Linked DNA regions of Nothobranchius furzeri. The protein of the gene in region 1 purifies or fractionates together with the protein of each later gene. This does not show direct contact. Links are inferred from orthologs where the notes say so. Each region holds a gene or a part of one and is shown on either strand. Other genes may lie near its edges. The genes, in order: trpc1 and cav1.

Region 1 (9,262 bases):
TCCTGGAGGAGACGATGAACGGCTTCGAGGAAGAGCTGGAGCCGCTGGTCATGTTGAGAGCAAACAGCTCGATGTCGTGGTTGTTGGTGAGGTTGGCAAAGCGGTAGATGCTCCTCAGCGTCTTCACCGGGTTTTCCACCAGGTCTTCGTACCGCACCGCCATGTACTTCCCCTTCAGCCAGCTGGGCGGGTTTAAAGCAGTCCTTAAGGTCCTGGAGGTGCGGTCGCAGATCACCTCCATGGCTCCGATGGAGTGATAGTCGGAGCCGTCCTTCTTATTGGCTTTGTGGCCCGGATCCACAAAAGGTATCCGTCGAAGTTTAGGGTCCCTGCTGCGAACCACCTGTAAGTTCTCCCTGATCAGGCCGTGTCTAGACTTAATCCTGGAGTTAGCGACGGCCCGCGGGTCTCTAACCAAATGTATCACCTTCAAATCCAAGGATGGATCCTCCATTAAAGGAGCCAGCACGTTTACATCCAGGATACGCACCCCTTTAATGACTATGGTGTTATATTTGAGGCACTCCTCCTCCAGAAGTCTAAGGCTTTGAGGGGGGCACTTTTTACACACCTTATCATCCACCATCCCCACCACCTCCTTCCTGTAGGCTGAGCAGAGGGGATAGGAGCACACCACTTTATTCAGGGTGGCCCCAAACAGTCCCAAGGAGGTGAAATTCTTGCCTCCGGGGCTGTTATAAAGTTGGAAAACAGACAGATCACAGCGATACAAGGAGCTAAGCATGTCTCTGGCTGCCCCTTGTAAAGACACGGCGTCGCCAGGGTAAAGCTTCTGCCAGATGTGCCACATGGGCTCATACAAAAAGAACACTTCTGGATTTTGGTTGAAAAGCTCCCCGAAAAAGGACGAGCCCGACCTCCAGGTGGTCAGGACGTAGATGAGCTGTCTCTTTTTGGCCAGAGAGGGCCTGTAAAGGAAGCGAATGTCAGATCTGCTCTGATAAGTGGTGCTCCTCATCTGATGGTTGCACTGCTGTGGCTCCTTGGTCCATTTATAATTAGCCAAATTGAGCATGGTGAGGACCAGCAGTAGGAAATAGGCCATAAACAACACAATCCTCTTTCTGCGGAGCACTTTCATCACGATCCCAGGCTGTGCTATTATCTTGGTGTGGTTCCTGTAGGTTTTGAGCTTCCTCCCAAAGCCAGCATCCTTCTCCCAAGGCGCTGTCAACTTCAGTGGTTGATGGTATTGTTTGCCTCTCATCTGTGCCCCTGGAGTGTGGCTCCCACCGCTGGACAAAGCTCTACATTGAAAATGCACCAACGCTCTGTAGAGTGTGTGTATGGGGGGGCTGCACTGGGAATAAATTCCCAGTACAGAAGCGGGTGATTAGGTAATATATTCCCCTCCTATTCGGCAGCACGATTTCCAGTTTTCACTGCACTGCGCAATGCTCTTCATGGGAGCGATGGGGGACAGACGCCTTCTTTAAGTTGTCCATAGTGGCGTTGCAGTGATTCAGCGGTGTGGCCCGTGTTCACAACAAAAAAGGGGACGCCTTCATTGTAACAGACGCCCTGCTTCTTCTTCTCGTCCATGCTCAGCAGAAGCATCTCTGCGCAGCAAACATCCTGAGGATCCGTGCAGCTCCGCTCAGACGCAACATGGAGCGCGTTTCCTCCGCAGCGCGCTTAAATCATGTCGGGATGTTAACGAGAAGCGCCTGGGTCCGCAGTCACGGCTTCCCGAGCTACTCCAGGGCTCGTCTAACTAATACAAACCGAGCAGATTCAATCAGAAAGCAAGAGGACATGCGTCCCGCCCTTAGAGAGCGCCTATTGGGCGCGGGGCGTGACGTAGCGCGGCATCGAGCCTCGCTATTGGCTCTGCCGCCCGCCCGTGAAGTGGAAGCTACAGAAATGGTTGAATGCTGTTATTATGAGATGGAGAGCTCGCAGTCTAACCACCTCCACCCATCCGTTTTTGGAACACGAGCGAAACAGAAATCGCTTTGATGAAACATTTTTAATTTAGTTTTTTTGCTTTTCAAAGCCACAATTCACCACGCTGCTGTCTCAAGGATCGACGCCCCGTTTAAATCCAACATCTAGTCCAAGTTCTGTAATTATGTGGATCTCTCCACAAACTGCAGGGTTGAATCAATATTTTAAATTAAATTAATTTTTTCCCTAATTTTTGCCTCTATAGGTTTTCCCAGATCCATAAAAAGGAAAAAGCTAACCGACATCACAGTTAAAGAGAATGTTTAATCTAGAAAACACACAAGTTAATTAGTGATGCGGTGATAATAATGGGAAAATAGTCATTTGGAGGAAAAATTGTAGTCCATGTGCTGAAGAACCCACGTGATTTATTGATATAAAATCATATTCATAAAAAGATTGCCTGTTTTGGATTACTGGCTCAACTGAAAAGAAAAAAACTATACAAATATCTCAAACATTTTATATCATTGCCATGATTTAGTCATACATTTCATTCATCATTGTTATTTGTCAGGTGTTATCTATCAGTGTTATTAATTTAACTCACCAATTGCTTTGACATAATTTGTTGTTTTTACATTTGATTTAAATACAGCTGTGTTACTGGGGGAATAGGGAAGTCTGTTAGTCTAGAGCATTTTTGATGAAAATGAGAACAATGCCAATGCAGCTGCCGTTTCTGCACCAGCTAAGCAATAAGGTGGATTCAGATAATGCAATTTCTAAATCACAAAGGGCATTTGAAAGAAATCTGGATCAGGAGAATATGTTTTGACAAAAATCCCATTGTTATTCAAGGAAAATGCTCAAACAGTTTATTCCAAAATACGTCTTAATTATATAATGTTATACTATTATTGCATGATTTGATACATGTTTTGTAAAAATACAGTTCCACATTCTGTAAAAATAAAAGAACAGCAGATCTCTCCATCCCACAGATGCTCGTTTTGCATTGATCCAATGTTTTTTAATTAAAGCTTTGTGCACACTCCCCTCTACTGGACTGACGCTTCAAAAGCTCACAGAATCGGACTCTTTAGTAAAAAGATCTGTAATAATCTGTATTCAAATTAATTTTCTTCAACATAGTAATACCCGTTAAAACACCAAAAACATCTTATTAAGGAAAAACATAAATTAACAAAGTCGTTTTATGTTGTTTTGTTCTGTCATTCTATTATAAAGCTAAAATGAAGTCTAGTATATTTTGTCTACAGAAGCATGTTTCCTGTTCATCCTAAATAATTAGCTATTTTTGCTTCATGTAGGAGGTTTGGCCCGTTTATGATCAATGAACACAACAGACTGTTACGTAATCATGACTCACCGCTGCCCTGCGCGTGCGAGACACGCCAGCGCGCGCGTGGAGGTGGGCACATGCGCAGTAGCATCCTTGGCCATCAGCATCAGGACCACTAAACGTCTACGGAGAGAAGATGGTGCATGTAAACACGGCGAAGGAAGTGACAGCGTCACCCTATCGGACCGTGGCCGCGGTTGTCGTCGACTAACGCGTTGTTTGAAGTCGAAAAAACGAGCATTAAAATATTTTTTTGCTAGAAAAACAGCGTGCGGGGACATGCGACGGTGTTAGCAAAGCTTATCGATTTAGCCTCAATGACGACGGTTGGAAAGCTCCGCGGCGCTCCGTCAGGCTTCAGAAGGATTCCTCCGCTGTCAGCTCACATGACGGGCTTCTTTGTGTGATGGTCGCCGCTTTCTAGTGGGATGCACATCAGTGCTTGGCCGTACTCGCTCTCCGTCGTCATGGCAGCTCTGTACCAGGGTACGGACGCCTCCTCTCCGGACAAATTCCTGGCCCTGAAAGACGTGAGGGAAGTTAAGGAGGAAACGACGCTGGATGAGAAGCTCTTCCTCCTGGCATGCGAGAAGGGTTTGTTAACATTTCTTCACATTTTAATATTGTTATTTTAATTCAGTTTAACGTAAAGCATAATTTTGACCTTATTTGTACACGTGTCTCATTTTTTAGGCGAGTTTTTCATTGCTGAAGCTCAGAATGCTTCACAGGGGAAGGATGCTTTAAGCGTAAAGCCAGTCCCTGTTACTGTGGCCATATAAAGTCTGTGTAAACACATGTGCGCAGCTGAGACTGTCCTTTGAGGGAGATGTTATTGTTACACAAGATTAAAGGGGCAGCTGGAGCCAAGCATGCTTTGTTACTACCTCCAGTGTGAGAGTGAGTCCTGGTGTTTGAGTGTAGAAGAAGGAGCTAAATTCACCACGAATGTGCATTTCCCCAGGTGACTACTACATGGTGAAGAAGCTGCTTGAGGAGAACCGACACGGCGAGCTCAACGTCAACTGCGTGGATGTTCTGGGAAGAGATGCGGTGACCATCGCCATCGAGAACGAGAATCTAGACATCCTGCAGCTTCTTCTTGAGTATGGTTGCCAGGTAACCAACACACAGGCATCACTTTAAGCCTTGCATTATAAGTATGATCTTTTCACATATTAGGTGTGTGTGTGTGTGTGTGTGTGTGTGTGTGTGTGTGTGTGTGTGTGTGTGTGTGTGTGTGTGTGTGTGTGTGTGTGTGTGTGTGTGTGTGTGTGTGAGAAGACAACAGATGCCTTGTTGGTAGCCATAGACTCAGAGGTGGTGGGAGCTGTGGACATCCTTCTCAACCACAGACCGAGGCGATCCTCAAAGCCGTCTATCGCAGTGAGTCTCCTCTTGTGACCTCTCTAAAACAACCGAATAATGTTTTTATTTTTGAACAATATTTTAGATATGTTTTATTTTGTCTTAGAAACTAATGCAGCGGATTCAGAACCCAGAGTATTCCACCACCATGGACGTGGCTCCAGTCATCCTGGCAGCACACAGGAACAACTACGAGATCCTGACGATGCTGCTGAAGCAGGACATCTCGCTTCCCCGGCCACATGCAGTTGGCTGTGAATGCATGCTATGCAATGCTAAAAACAAGAAGGACAGCTTAAGACACTCCAGGTACAGGCCCAAAGGATCCTACAGAAACAATATGCCAGAGATCATTGTTTCAGTGAGAGCTAGCAAGTGTTTTTGTTGCATCTACAAAGAAATTATTTATGCAAAAGCCTTTTAGAGATGCTTTTAGCTGTTATTACAGCATAATCCGTGTTCCACAGAGAATAGCTAATGGACTTTATAATCGTTCTTTAGTTATCTAGCATCAGCGAGCCAGTTTTATTGATTTTTTTTTTTTACATCGCCGTTTATTTTACGTTCAAATGTAAAATTCATTCAGAGTTTTTATACAAACAAAACAGGAAAACAGTGTTATCTTCAGACAAACATAGACACTTATTCCATCTTGGGTTTGCAGATGAGAATTTTCTGATCTCTTCTCTTCCACTGGGCTGTTTTCTTCTTCCACCCACACAAAGCACAACGATCCTTCCACAGTCTCTGCAAAGCACAGATTATGAAGCAAACACAAATAAATCAGCCAGAAAATGGATTGTTATGCCTATTTAATCCGCTCTGTTGCGTTTACTTCTACAGTAAGTGAATGCAATCCTGTGCATTAAGCTAAAAGCAAGTTATTGAAATATTATATAACCTCAAAGTCGTCACATGACGTGAATTAAACAGCAGGCTGTTTTTGATATGTAAATAAAAGCTAAAAATTCTATTTTTAAGTTATTAAGTGCAGAAGGAGCTCAGTGACACATCTATAACTTTTTATATTTATGCTGGAAAGCTTGATTTGTGACACCTTTGTCTTTAATGTACCAGAAAAGTGTTCTGTTGCATTCAAACCAGGCAGCTTACTTGGAATATTCTGCCTTATTTTACAGCTGTGAAATGAAGACATTCGTTAATGGTCCACAGCCTTTTATGGATCAGGAATATTTAAGATAATCATGCAAAGAACAAACAAAATTCAGCTCATAACAAAAAAGTTTCATAATTAAAAAGTTATTCAAGGTGTCACATGGAACACGAGTACCAAAGCAACATCTAGTGTGCGGAGGTTTGCAGCCGATATGTGAAATGTTTTATGTGGGTCCATCTGGTGTAGGCTTCACCTAAACTCACTCTGGTTTTAGATCTTTTATGGTCGCTCCTCTTCTGAGAAGAATAACGACATCTTCTGGGCTCACCCGGGAGGAGGGGGGTCTTTACCCGAGACAAAAATAGCACAAGGTGACCAGTAAACAGTGTCAGGTGGTCTGTATGTCTCACAGATACACAACTCTGCACCAAAATGGTGGTGATGTTGAACATTCTGCTCAATTTTCTGGCTTTTAGTCAGACTCAGACTTGTTCTGTGTGCACACAAAGCGGTACAAGTGATAATGCTGCTGGAATTCATGATTTTATCCTTCTCAGCAGCAGCACTGCAGGTGCTCTCCATGTCCAAAATGTGCGTAAGCCAGGTCCTCAGTCAACTTAAAGTTGCGCACATTTTTCCGCTAAGTTTTCTGTCATAAATCCCAAAGTTTGTGTGGAAAGTTGCTTACGCAGTTTTCCGAACCCGTTTTGTGCGTAAGCAAGCTTGATAAATGAGGCCCCGGGTGTTTTCACGAGATCTTGTGGGTCATTCAGAATGAAGGCAGTAAAAAGTGCTGCCACCTAGCAGTCGGAGATCTAATTGCACCACACAAAAGACAAACAGTAAATATTTACACGTCAATTCTCAACAAAAAATAATTTATACTGGTTTTAAATATTGATTCTATATCGTACCCCAAAGTATCGAGTGTATCTATTTTCATTCATCCCTATTACCCTTTATATACATAAATATATGGTATACTGTTATTTCTACCATTTTAACCAACTTCTGTTTATTTTCAGGTTCCGCCTGGACATCTACCGCTGCTTGTCGAGTCCTTCCCTCATCATGCTGACCGAGGAGGATCCTATTCTCAGAGCGTTTGAGCTCAGTGCAGACCTAAAGGAGCTCAGCCTGGTGGAGGTGGAGTTCAGGTGAATCTCTGAGCATCCAGTGGAACAATCCCACGGACATGTATACAGGAAGTTAATGCAGAGATATCAGCGAAAGGCAAAAGCCTTTACGGACTCTGACGGCGTCTAATTTATTCTCTGCAGGAACGACTATGACGAGCTGGCCAAGCAGTGCAAGATGTTTGCCAAGGATCTGCTGGCTCAGGCTCGGAACTCCCGGGAGCTGGAGGTGATCCTTAATCACACCTCTAGCGAGGATCATGTTGATAAGAGAGGCCTGCTGGAGGAGCGCATGAACCTTAGCCGGCTTAAACTGGCCATCAAGTACAACCAGAAAGAGGTCAGTTAGTGAAAGTCTGCAAATTGTAATAAATGTCAGCAGATAAAAGGATCTCGGCTTTCATTTAGTGTATACCTAAAATCTGATGGAGGTCAAAATAAAAGATTAATGATCTGCTATGTAGTGTGCTTGCTGTGAGATTTAACAGCTCCTGTAGAACATTATGTGCTTGTTTTTGGGAAATCAGCTCAATGTACTTACTTCCAGCGACAAACTGAAGCTTTAAATACAACGAAGCTGGATCATTTACAGCCGGGGTGGCTGGAACAGGATGGCTTGTAGAATATAGTTTCCAGCAGGAGGAACGATATCAGCTTCACATATCAGCATGCACATTTATGCAAAAATCAGTAAAAATAAACAACTAAAAAATGTTCTTTTTGAGTAAAAGTTCTCCTCTGTTGTTTTCTCCTGCCAGTTTGTGGCCCAGTCCAACTGTCAGCAGTTCCTCAACACCGTCTGGTTTGGAGAAATGGCCAGCTACCGGCGCAAACACACCTGCCTGAAGATGGGCACGGTTTCCAGCGTGGCGCTGCTCTGGCCGCTGCTCTCCGTCTGCTACCTTCTGGTGCCGCGCTCTCGAGTCGGCCAGATCATCCACACACCGTTCGTCAAGTTCATCATCCACAGCGCCTCCTACATGACCTTCCTGCTGCTGCTCAACCTTTACTGTTTGGTGTACAACGAGCAAAAGAAAAACCTGATGGGCCCGGCGCTGGAGATGATCGACTACCTCCTGATCCTCTGGATCCTAGGTCAGCCTCTTATGCCATAAGGATCTGATTTCTATTGCTGAATACTTGTTGCTCTTTTAGAAGTATAAACAGGAGAAGAATCCAGCCCTACAGACCATAACATAATTGAAAGTCCTGCACGGTGCAGCAAAAATGAGAGATTCCTGTTAAGGTCTGCCCAAAGTCCATTATCTGTAATTCTATCTGGAGTCTGAGAAAAATGGCTGTTTTTATATTATGTGGGAAAAAACTCTTACTTGACTGAATTTCATCTGTCTTCTTTCTCCTCTGGGGCCCGTCTAATTGCTGGTATTGCATGATTATCAACAGCAGCTCTTTTCTTATGGCGATGACGTAGCCGTTAGAAATGGGCCGCCTCTCTCTGGAGAGACACCTCCCTACCTTCCCCGTCTGCCAAGAAACCATTATCATCCACTTTAGGCCTGTTAATGGCTCTGGCTGCTTGCTGGGATGTTTGGGAGTGGTTGTAAAAAGCAACCACTTCTTTGTTTCACCGTCCTGATGATAATCCATCACATCAAAACAGCCTGACAGTTAATACCAGCATGTAGGAGCTATTAACTTGTGTTATTAAATGCTGTGATAAGAGGCTTAGTGCTGTTCAGTTAATTCCAGAAAGGTGGAAAGAGGTCATTGTGACATGCTGGAACTTAAAAATTCCCTAGAAAAGTTGTTTTTATTATTTGTTTTTCCCAAAAGATGTGACGTTTGCTTTCCTGCTGCTTCAACAAACCATCCAGGTGGAGTTTAAAGGGAAAAGCGTTGTAATAACTCCAGCATCCTCGTGCAATCAGGATCCACCCCGTGTGGGTCGGATGTGCACTGCCAACAATCACTAGTCGAAGCAGCTTTTTATTTTTTATTTTGTTCACTATTGTTCTCTTGTTCTGTTCCTTTCCTCTCATCTTTCACTTCACTAACTAAGTAAGATGCCTCGCATTAATGGGGAAATCAGACGCTGAGAGACTGTGTGTGTGCGTGGGTGCATGTGTGCGTGCGTGGGTGCGTGCGTGCGTGCGTGTGTGTGTGTGTGTGTGTGTGTGTGTGTGTGTGTGTGTGTGTGTGTGTGTGTGTGTGTGTGTGTGTGATTTGATATCTGTGTCGTATCACAAACATGAGTGGGTTGAGGAGCAGTTGATGACTTTTCTCTTCCAGAGATTGTATCTTCTTTGTGGATTTCCCGCTAAAACCACAGAAATGATGAATTTCTGAATCAGAGCTTCCACATATTTTCCTCATCTTCACATGGATTCTGTTTCTACACTAAAAGAC
Region 2 (9,397 bases), on another chromosome or scaffold:
ATCTCACAGCACAATGACAATAATGTTAGATATCTACCTTTATCTGCATTGAACTCATATTTAAGCACGTGTGAAGGAGCAGGATTACAGATCTATGACTGTGATCCTCGTAACTGATCCGTTGACACAAGGGAATCTCACTGAGTGTGATGAGGGGCATTAAATGAGTCGGATGTTGCTTCAGCTGAGCAGAGACTCTGGCACATTGGTTATAAATATTAGCAACCCTTTAACATGTTCCCCAACCAGAAGGAGCTAAGGAGAGGCATAAATGCTCTGTTGTTCTTTTTTGGGTGGGGGATGTCTTGATTTGAAATCATATAAATTTAACAAATATAACAGCTGACTTAGTGATGCCAAACTCTTCCCCACAAAGGAGTTGGCGCGCCTTCACTCAGGTTGTTTGAACTGCTTTAAAGGGCAAGTTCAATGAGAAACTGTAAACTTTTTATTTATTTCATTTCCATGCAGGCTGAATGTCTCTTACACCGATCTTCTGCGTGAGCTTCTGATGGAAATAGGGTGGTGCAACACTCGGGTTAGAAAAGCCTGACAGATCTATGTCACACTGTCACTCAGCATTCATGGACTGACTCATCGTGACTCGCGACGGGGCGAGCTGTTGTTGGTTTAGCGAACATGAAACAACAAAGGATGTCTTGGCTAGTAGAAGCTAACCGATTTAGCAACTCCACCACACAGCAGAACTCCTCTAGGCTTGTTTTATTTGTGGAGATAAAACATCAACATTGCAGAGCAAACAGTGTCAATGGAAGAGTTGTGTTGCTGTTAGCCAATCAGAGGAGAGATGTCCAAATAACAGGACAAACAAGTTAAGTGGGTCTTTATCATTACTATCTCATCTAAACAGGTGTTTGTGCTTACCTCTGCCTTCAGTTTCATTGTTTTCTTTACAACTTCATCTGGGTTTTATGAATATTAGGGAGTGGTTTTTCTTTTCGAAATAACGTAACTTCTGGTCCTTAGCTGTGAGAAACGTTTGTTTCTACATGATGAAAATAAAGACGTTTTCCGCTCCAGCTGATTCTTCTGTGTGTGTGTTTCTGTCACCAGAGATTAGTGCAGCTGACATGCAGCTTAGAGTCAGAGAGGTCTCATAAATCCTGTTTCTGAGGCTGCATAACAGACTCACTATACAGCGATGAGCTGTGGGCTGACGGACGTCACCTGAGGCTCCACTTTTAGACCTGCAGGTCTGCACAGAGTTTGAGCTGCAGAGACTCTTTCCTCGTGGCCTGAATACTTCACTTGCCACTCCACCTTTCGGAAGAACACAGACCCCAACAAAGTTCTCGCCTCACCAAGGCGAGACAGGTGTGTGTTGAAGTCCACAAGCTGAAGGAAACATTCTCAATCAGCCTAGTCAGAAACTGCATACGACGTCACCATCTCTAGTTAGACAGTCTGACTGAACTTCTGCGCTGAATCAGTTCACTCTGAAGCTTTCAGATGATCTGGTTTGAAGAGCTTGATGCCTCTGGAAAACTCAGCCCGGAGGAAGCTTGTAGAGGTTTGAACATCAGCCAACACCCACCTGGGGTGAGACCTGGAGATAGATCATGAGAATGGTGTGGGACCAGCTGGAGAGAGGATCCCAGGACAGAGATGCCTGGAGATCCTTTGTTGGCAGCCCATACCCCAGGAGGGATAGCAGGTTGTAGGTAAGTAAGTGACCTTTGACCTTCACCTGAATACTGGTGTGAAGCGATGATGTGAGAAGAAAATCTCACTCATGTTTTAAGGCTTGCTCCCTGTGGTCATAAACCCTGAGATGCTGCATCAGTGATTTATGACTGAAGGTAACGTTGGATCATCTGCTGAGGTCAGGGTGTCCCAAAGCAGATCCTAAAATCAGAAAGAAACATTTAAAACATTTCACTTAAAACATTTTATTTATTTTTAAATCTAACTAGTTTTCTAAGGGGCGGAGCCTCTGATCACCCAGGAATGTTTATAGCTCAGGTCTCAGTTTCAACCTCACCCATCCATCATCCTCAACCATTCACCACATCATCCCTTCATCTTCACCCCTCTCATTCATTCATTCATTCATCCCTGTCAGCTTTCAACTGTTTCCATCTTCTACCATGTCTCAGGAATAATCTAGCACCCGAGTCAGAATTCCCACACAGAGTGCCTCCTCCCTGGCCTCCAGCAGCAAGTGTCCTCACCCCTCGCTTATCCTGAACCATAAACCTGTTCAAGTCACATTTCTGTCGCGCGGTTCAGCTACAGAACCTCTCTGGCTGCTGCCTTCAGTGCTCGTCTCTCCTGATGACTGCGTTGGAACCTGTAGAGAGCAGGATTCTGACCAGACGTCTGTCCCTGGACAACGACAGCAGCAGAGATCGTCATGGTTGTGCTAAAGTGAGCTACTGACTGCGATCACATGACTACCTCAGCTGTGTGCATACCGGTTAGAGTCACAGGCAATTTAGCACAAATGACCTTCAGCAAAGAGCTATTCCTCACAATCACAGAGGTTTACCTTTACAACCTGAGCAGAATCAGCTGAATCAGAACCGGTTCTGTCAGTGTTCTGAGTGACACCAGCGTGCCTTGTCATTACGGTAACTGGTTTCCCACAGATGATGCCTCGGGAGGATTCACATGCAAACACTTTGCTGCTTGTCTTCAGCTCTTGGTGTTGTTGTCTCAGTGTGAAACTGTTCCAGGCTGCAGCAGGATAACATCTTTATGTGAAACAGGTGCACATCTGCTCTGTTTTGATCTGCGCTCAAGGCCGCACCTTTGGAAGTAGGTGGGGGTTATTTATTTATGCAACTGTCCAGAGGAGACATCACAGAGGGGTTCTTCACAATAAAAGAGAAAAGGATCCTGGTGGAAATGAAGAACTTGAGCTTTCTGCAGAAGATTTCCAACAACAAAACAATCCATCCTCAACGGCCAAGCGGTGGTACTGTAACGTTCTAGATCAGCTGGGCTGCGTGGACAGGCTGCACCTGGGAAGGTGTGGATTTAAAGCACACCTAAATCAGATCTATAACTGTAGCTACTTTGTTTGTTCTGGTTTGTTTAGGTGTTGTAACATAACTTTGTTGTTAAATACAACTAGATCTGCATTCATCTGGGGCCTAAAGAGGAAAGTCAAAACATAAAACGGGGGCTTCTCCGGGATATTTCTGACCAACAGTGAATACTAAACTTGATTGGTTTTGTGGGAAAATCTGGTTAGTTTTAGGTTTACAACATGCAGGGAGAACCCCAACATCAACAACCTCAGATCATTATACCAACAAAGATGTTAGGTAGGGATTCTCCTCGGCGTGCTTTTATCATGAAAGGCTACAATTACATGTAACTCTACGAATAAAAATGTGATTATTATAAAGTAGTTTTATTTATTTATCATGGGCAGCAGCAGCTCAGGAGGGAGAGTGGATTGCTGCTGGTAGTCATAGGGGCCGGTGGCGCCTGTGCTCGGCAACCTTGCCTCCATCAGTCCACCTCAGGACAGCTGTGGCTACAGTGTAGCTCATCATCACCAATGGGTGAATATGTGTGTGTGTGTGGGGGGGGGGGGGGTTGGGCTAAACGACTGATTGTGTTATAAAGCACCTTGGGGGGTTTCAGGAGTCTAGAAGGCTGGAGAGAAGATCCCAGCACAAATGCAGGCAATTTACCATCATGACTATTTTTATTATTATGAACTGAATGAGGCAAAACATGTATTGTACATTTTTGTGTTACTGTATTTAAAACATTAAGTGAAACATTTTAAATGAACCCAATTATAAAGCAACACACACACACACACATTAAATGAAAAATACATTTTTGGATGAATATAGACAACAAGAAATTGATGAAAATGACTGAAATCTAACTCAATAATCAGCCAACTTACAATATCAGACCTGTGTAAAAACAAAGCAGCCTACCAAAATAAGAGCGGGTGAAGAACGCTCCTAAGGTCTCAGAATTGCTTTGGTGATGGGATTCTATGAGACGGTTTGACTATGGATCATATCTGAATGTGCCGAGAACCACTTCAGATATAACATAGATTAACATGGAGAGACCTCTTCACATTTCTGTGGACCGCAGTCTAAATGCAAACGTTAGCAAATAACTTTGTTTAAAACCATCTAAATCCTGGATAGCTTTGGTTTTTATTGTGAATTTGTATTTTTTACAATATGATCGGTGTATGATTTTACAAACGATCCATAGGTGTTCTCCATCTGGCTCTTTCTCCCTGCGAGCTGCAGGTATCCACACCTTGTCATTCCCTATTAACGCCCACATTTCACCCAACAAATAAGCCATGCTATCCTCTGCCTTGATCCCCAAACGCAGTTGCTCTGTGCCAATTTATTTCAGAAGCCCTTCAGTCCGTGTGAGAGTCTCCTCCAGCGCGGACACGCTGCAGCGCTTGTGAATACAGGAGTCCCCTGAAAAGCGGGTTTCCCTTCGGGCATGCTGGAGGCAGGTCCCTGACAGAAAGCGCGGAGCTGGGAGTGTGCCTCCACGCCTCCCACTCGGTTTCCTCTCCTGTCGCATCTGGTTGAACGAGGATTCCTCCAGTCGCGGACAGAATGACAGGAGAACTGAAGGACGAAACAGAAGAGGTACAGTATGACTCTCAGCTGTAGTTTGTCTCAGAGTTTTGAGCTTTGATATTTTTTCATTAAGGAGGTAATACATCTCTGTAGGATTTATTGGACCCACGAGGGGGAATTTCATGTTTCTATCCCTCACACCTGGAGCTTGTCGCCTCTCCAGGACTTTGGAGTTTTCTTTAAGAACGTTTGCGTGATGCGAACACTCTTAAGACCAGTCTATTTGTCAGCAAGAACCCCTTTTTATTTATATTACCCATAACGTTGGCGAAAGTGAACGAAAACACATATATTTGCGTAAAAAACGAGAAAGTGGCAGATTGACGCACTTTTACGCATTCGGGTTTAATGTAGTAAACACGGAAAACCTGCATGTTTTGGCACCATTTATTAATAATCACGTGTCGCACAGGTCCTATCGAGAGGAGAGGACTCGTTGCAGTTTATGACATGAATTAATTTAAAGATATTTGGTTTAATAGATTTTTGGGGATGCGTACTTTTACGCATTCACCAAAAGAGAGGTTTCCGTGCGCCCAGGTGCATTCCAGCCCGCTGTGAGGTGGGTCAGGATGTGGAGCAGCAGCCTGCGTGGTGAGGACCCCTTGCGGCTGAACGCAGGGGTGTGGTGCTTCACTTTGCGTTCATTTAAACCCATCCCAGTTTGTGTGGCTGGCTGCTCCAGTCCTTCGTTCCCTCTCAGCGCGCTGCGCACCCTTCTTCCTCCTCCTCACGCTTCTCTTTTTCTGTCTTTCTTTCCCTCCTCCTCCTCCTCTACGTGAATCCTTACAGGAGTTTCCGCATTCACCCTTCATCAGAAAACAAGGAAACATTTACAAACCGAACAACAAAGACATGGACAACGACAGTATGAACGAAAAGGCCATGGAGGATGTCCACACCAAGGAGATAGACCTGGTCAACCGGGACCCCAAGCACATAAACGACAACGTCGTCAAGGTGAGTCAGAGCTTTAAGTTTGACGTTTGAACTAAAAGGTGCAGCTGGAGTGATGCTTTATTGTATAACTGCTGCAAACGAAGTGTTGAGAGAAAATCAAGGTGATAGTTTTACGTTTGTCTAAGAACGTTGCCAAACTTCTGGCAGCTGTTGAAGTGCGCGTCTCGGAGACGCGCTCCGGCTGCGCGCTGATCTCCAGCCCCTCCGTGTCTTTCCCCTATTAGGAAGAAGCTTTGCAAACGCGGTGAAGTTGAAAGAAGTTATCATAATCAGCTCTGAAACGTGACAATCCCGCTCTAAAGAGGAAACATCACGAATTTCCTGTTGTTGCTGCTGCGCGCGTTGATTCCCACAGTCGCTGTTTGCCTTTTTGTGATGAAAGCAAATTCTTTCCGTAAGGGAGAAGGCTGCTCGCACAAAGGCTGGAAGTGTGTTTAGTTTGAGGAGGTGAGGAGAGGAGAGGGAGCAGCGAGGCACCTGCTTGAGTCTACCCTTGTGAAAACATTGAAACACCCTGCTAATCTGATGGGATCCCTCACCACTCCCTCCTCCTACATTTTCTCCCATTCTACTCCCCCCTCCTCCCTGCATGCCAGCACCTGAGCCAAGGGAGCAGAGATGCTTCTTTATTAGCATCTGACAGTTTTTGGAGAGGGAACTGACTGAGGATTTTCTTGGGATGAAAAATTGGCTGAGATGCTGCAGTTCAAAGTAAAAGGAACCAACTATGATTAAAGTCCACTTGAAGATCTCGCTGCTTTCACGGTAATCTTTTTAAGAGACGTTCCAAAAACACATAAAAGGATGCATGTTACCCACGTGACCTTCTAGAAGCTGCTGTTGGATAAAAAGGGGAAAACTGCTCTCCAGCGTCTCTGCTCCTGTCTGCACTCATGCTGTCTCTCCCTCCTCCCCAGCTCTCCAATGTGAAAGTGAGTCAGACTCTCCCTCCAGTCCCCCCCCCACACACACACACGCATGCACGCACACTCACACTCACACACTCACACTCGCACACACACACACACACACACACACACACACACACACTCACACAACCACCACCCACACCCACACACACACACACACACTCACACTCGCACACACACACACACTCACATTCGCACACACACACACACACACACACACACACTTGCACACTCACACACACACTCACACTTGCACACACACACACACACACATTCAAGACAGGAGGCGAAACAATCTGATATCACATGACGATAACAGGAAAAATGACAAAACGTTCTCTAGTTTCGTCATGGTGGGGGGGGGGGGGGGGTCCTGCCTTTTTAGCGTTACAAAAGTATTTTCAGAGGTGAGTCAGGACCGGGGTGCTCCAGTGTTTTATTTCATTGTTGTCATGGCTGCAGTTTGGCTGCTAAAGTTAAAACAGATGTTGGCATCTGGTCTGCAACTGTTGCTGATGGTGCCAGCAAGAGAGGTTCCTGAAGGTCTCAGGGTAAGGTTCTAGATGACTCTCAGTGGGTTGCATGGCCTAGCGTTAACACTCTGAGACGGTCGTGGCAACTTTCATCAAAGACAGATTTGTGGCAGATCAGATAAAACGCAGAATCTGGAAGTCAGCATAACACAAGTGTGCATTTTAACCTGCTTGTCTCTTTAAAAATACATTCATGCAAACAACATTTCAATAAAATCTTTAAAGTTCTTTTCATCCTAAATTAGAAGATCTGTAACATTTCATAATAATAATAATAACAATATTAATGGTCCAGAACAATTGTGTAACATGAGAAGGACCCAGTGTGGAGTCATGCTCTGAACCATGAAAACGCTCTAGTGATTAGAATCATTTTAAAATGACACGTTAGCTCTGAGGTCATCGTGACCTCACTGTTAGCTCGTGAGTTTAGCCAGATTCCCCCAAACTGAGGCTGTTCACACAGCTACCTACAGTAAGTGAGACAACAGTTGTTCATAACTTTTCCACAGAAACACACATCTAAGGATCTGAACTATCATTGTAAGAAGCTCCGCCTCCGACATCCCCAGTGTGTACCTGTGCTGTAGCCACCAGGGCTCTCCAAGGGTGAGTGGAACAGAGCTGAGGAGCTTCTGTCTGCCTCGTCCCAGATTCCAGCTCCGAAACGCGGCTTCACAGAGAGCTGCGGCAGCTCTGAGGTCCTGTGAGGTCATGAATCAGCTCGGCTAAATAGAGGAGTGTGTTCAGTGTGCTGCGGTGGAAACGCACAAGTGGGGAATCCCTTCCACCACACACACACACACACACACACACACACACACACACACACACACACACACACACACACACACACACACACACACACACACACACACACACACACACACACAGTATCTGAGCCTTCCTTCAGCAGCAGCTGGCCTCAATCACCTCTGGCCACATCAAACACTTCTATGACTCGCTCAGACTGCAGAACAGAGAGGGTGTTTTCCTCCTGTGGAGACACTCGGTCTTTTTATAGCTGTGTGTGTGTGTGTGTGTGTGTGTGTGTGTGTGTGTGTGTGTGTGTGTGTGTGTGTGTGTGTGTGTGTGTGTGTGTGTGTGTATGTGTGTGTGTGTGTGTGTGTGTGTGTCCCTCACGATCCCGTGAGTAGAGAAAACTTTTCAGAAGGAGCAGGACCAGAGTCGAGAAGGTTGGTGAGTCATTTACATCTCAGTGAGAGACCAGCTAATGTCTCAGAGGGAAAGTTCACAAGTTCTGAAGTTTATTTCTGTAGAAAAGTTGTGAACAAGAATAACCTGATGTCGCTGATCAGAGCTCAGGGTGTGAATAAGGACCAGAACACAAAACCTTTGACTGCAGCTGAGAACAACCCATCAGAACCAACATCTAGTGAACAGCACAGCTCAACCATCAAATGTTCAAAGCATTTTATGTTAATGTGTGACTTACAAGTGATAATGAAGCAGCAGGTAGCCCTTGAAGCTAACAACGAACACTAATCGGTCAATCCTAGGTGGCAGTGATGCAGCACAGTGAGTCATAGAGGGAAGGGAACAAGGAGAGGACAGTAGAGGGGGGGGGGTGCAGGGGGCGCGGGGAGGGTGCTGGTTTAGAAGATGCTCTCTGAAGAGCAGGGTCTTCAGGACGTTCTTGAAAGTCGACAAGGACGGCCCTGTCCGGGTAGCGCTTGGTAGGTCATTCCACATCTGTGTGTTGAACAGTAGCTGCTTAGGGCGTTCGAATAAGTGAAACAAGTCTGTCTGAGTCAAAACTCGAACGTAGGAAGAACAGAAACGAGTACAAACCTGATTGTGTTGAATGTGTTTGAGCAGACTTGTGTTTCATGGTTACACTAGTGACATTTTAACAAACACTGGACTTGTGTCGTCGTCCTCTGACTCTGACGGCTGAAGGGCCAGCACACCCGGCCCCTTCACGGACCCACGTTGTCTAGTCGAGTGTAGCGGCCTGAAGACAGAGCTCTGGAAATAGCTCTCAGCCTTATTTACCCAACAATACAACTGCCATGCCAACCGGTCACATGCTGACCATTGGACCCCTTTGTTTCACATCAAACTGGACTTTTGAATCAGCTCCACTCAGAACCAGGCTGGTTCGGATGGATCTACTTTCTCTGGTTTTCTTTGATCCAGAAACTTGTTTTCTGAGCTGAAACGTTTAACTTTGTAACTCACAAACGAGACGGTTCCTCTCAAGAGGCTCATCCTTCTAAAAGATAAGGAAATAAATTATTAAATAAAAACGCTGCATCTGATGAAACATATGCGCTGGTTTTGCCCTAACGGTGTGACCCTGAAGGTTAAAAAGCTAAAGCGTCTCCACCCCCTCTCTGCGGCGGTGTGT

The links.
Region 2: the proteins of trpc1 (region 1) and cav1 purify together in Homo sapiens (affinity purification with western blotting; 3 studies listed by BioGRID and IntAct, with this or other methods). This does not show direct contact. The link is inferred for Nothobranchius furzeri from reciprocal best matches to the Homo sapiens genes TRPC1 and CAV1.

What each region holds. Positions count from the first base shown.
Region 1 is NC_091747.1:48,685,835-48,695,096, reverse strand, and holds the start of trpc1 (short transient receptor potential channel 1), read left to right. Parts: upstream 1-3,331; 5' UTR 3,332-3,702; coding exon 3,703-3,868; intron 3,869-4,238; coding exon 4,239-4,393; intron 4,394-4,558; coding exon 4,559-4,660; intron 4,661-4,748; coding exon 4,749-4,951; intron 4,952-6,784; coding exon 6,785-6,916; intron 6,917-7,039; coding exon 7,040-7,235; intron 7,236-7,653; coding exon 7,654-7,990; intron 7,991-9,262. Other genes in the region: chst2b (carbohydrate sulfotransferase 2), read right to left, coding at 1-1,228. UniProt on the Homo sapiens protein: Forms a receptor-activated non-selective calcium permeant cation channel. Forms a heteromeric ion channel with TRPC4 or TRPC5 that has reduced calcium permeability compared to the homomeric TRPC4 or TRPC5 channel.
Region 2 is NC_091744.1:52,439,916-52,449,312, forward strand, and holds the start of cav1 (caveolin-1), read left to right. Parts: upstream 1-4,391; 5' UTR 4,392-4,580; coding exon 4,581-4,613; intron 4,614-5,396; coding exon 5,397-5,564; intron 5,565-9,397. UniProt on the Homo sapiens protein: May act as a scaffolding protein within caveolar membranes. Forms a stable heterooligomeric complex with CAV2 that targets to lipid rafts and drives caveolae formation. Mediates the recruitment of CAVIN proteins (CAVIN1/2/3/4) to the caveolae.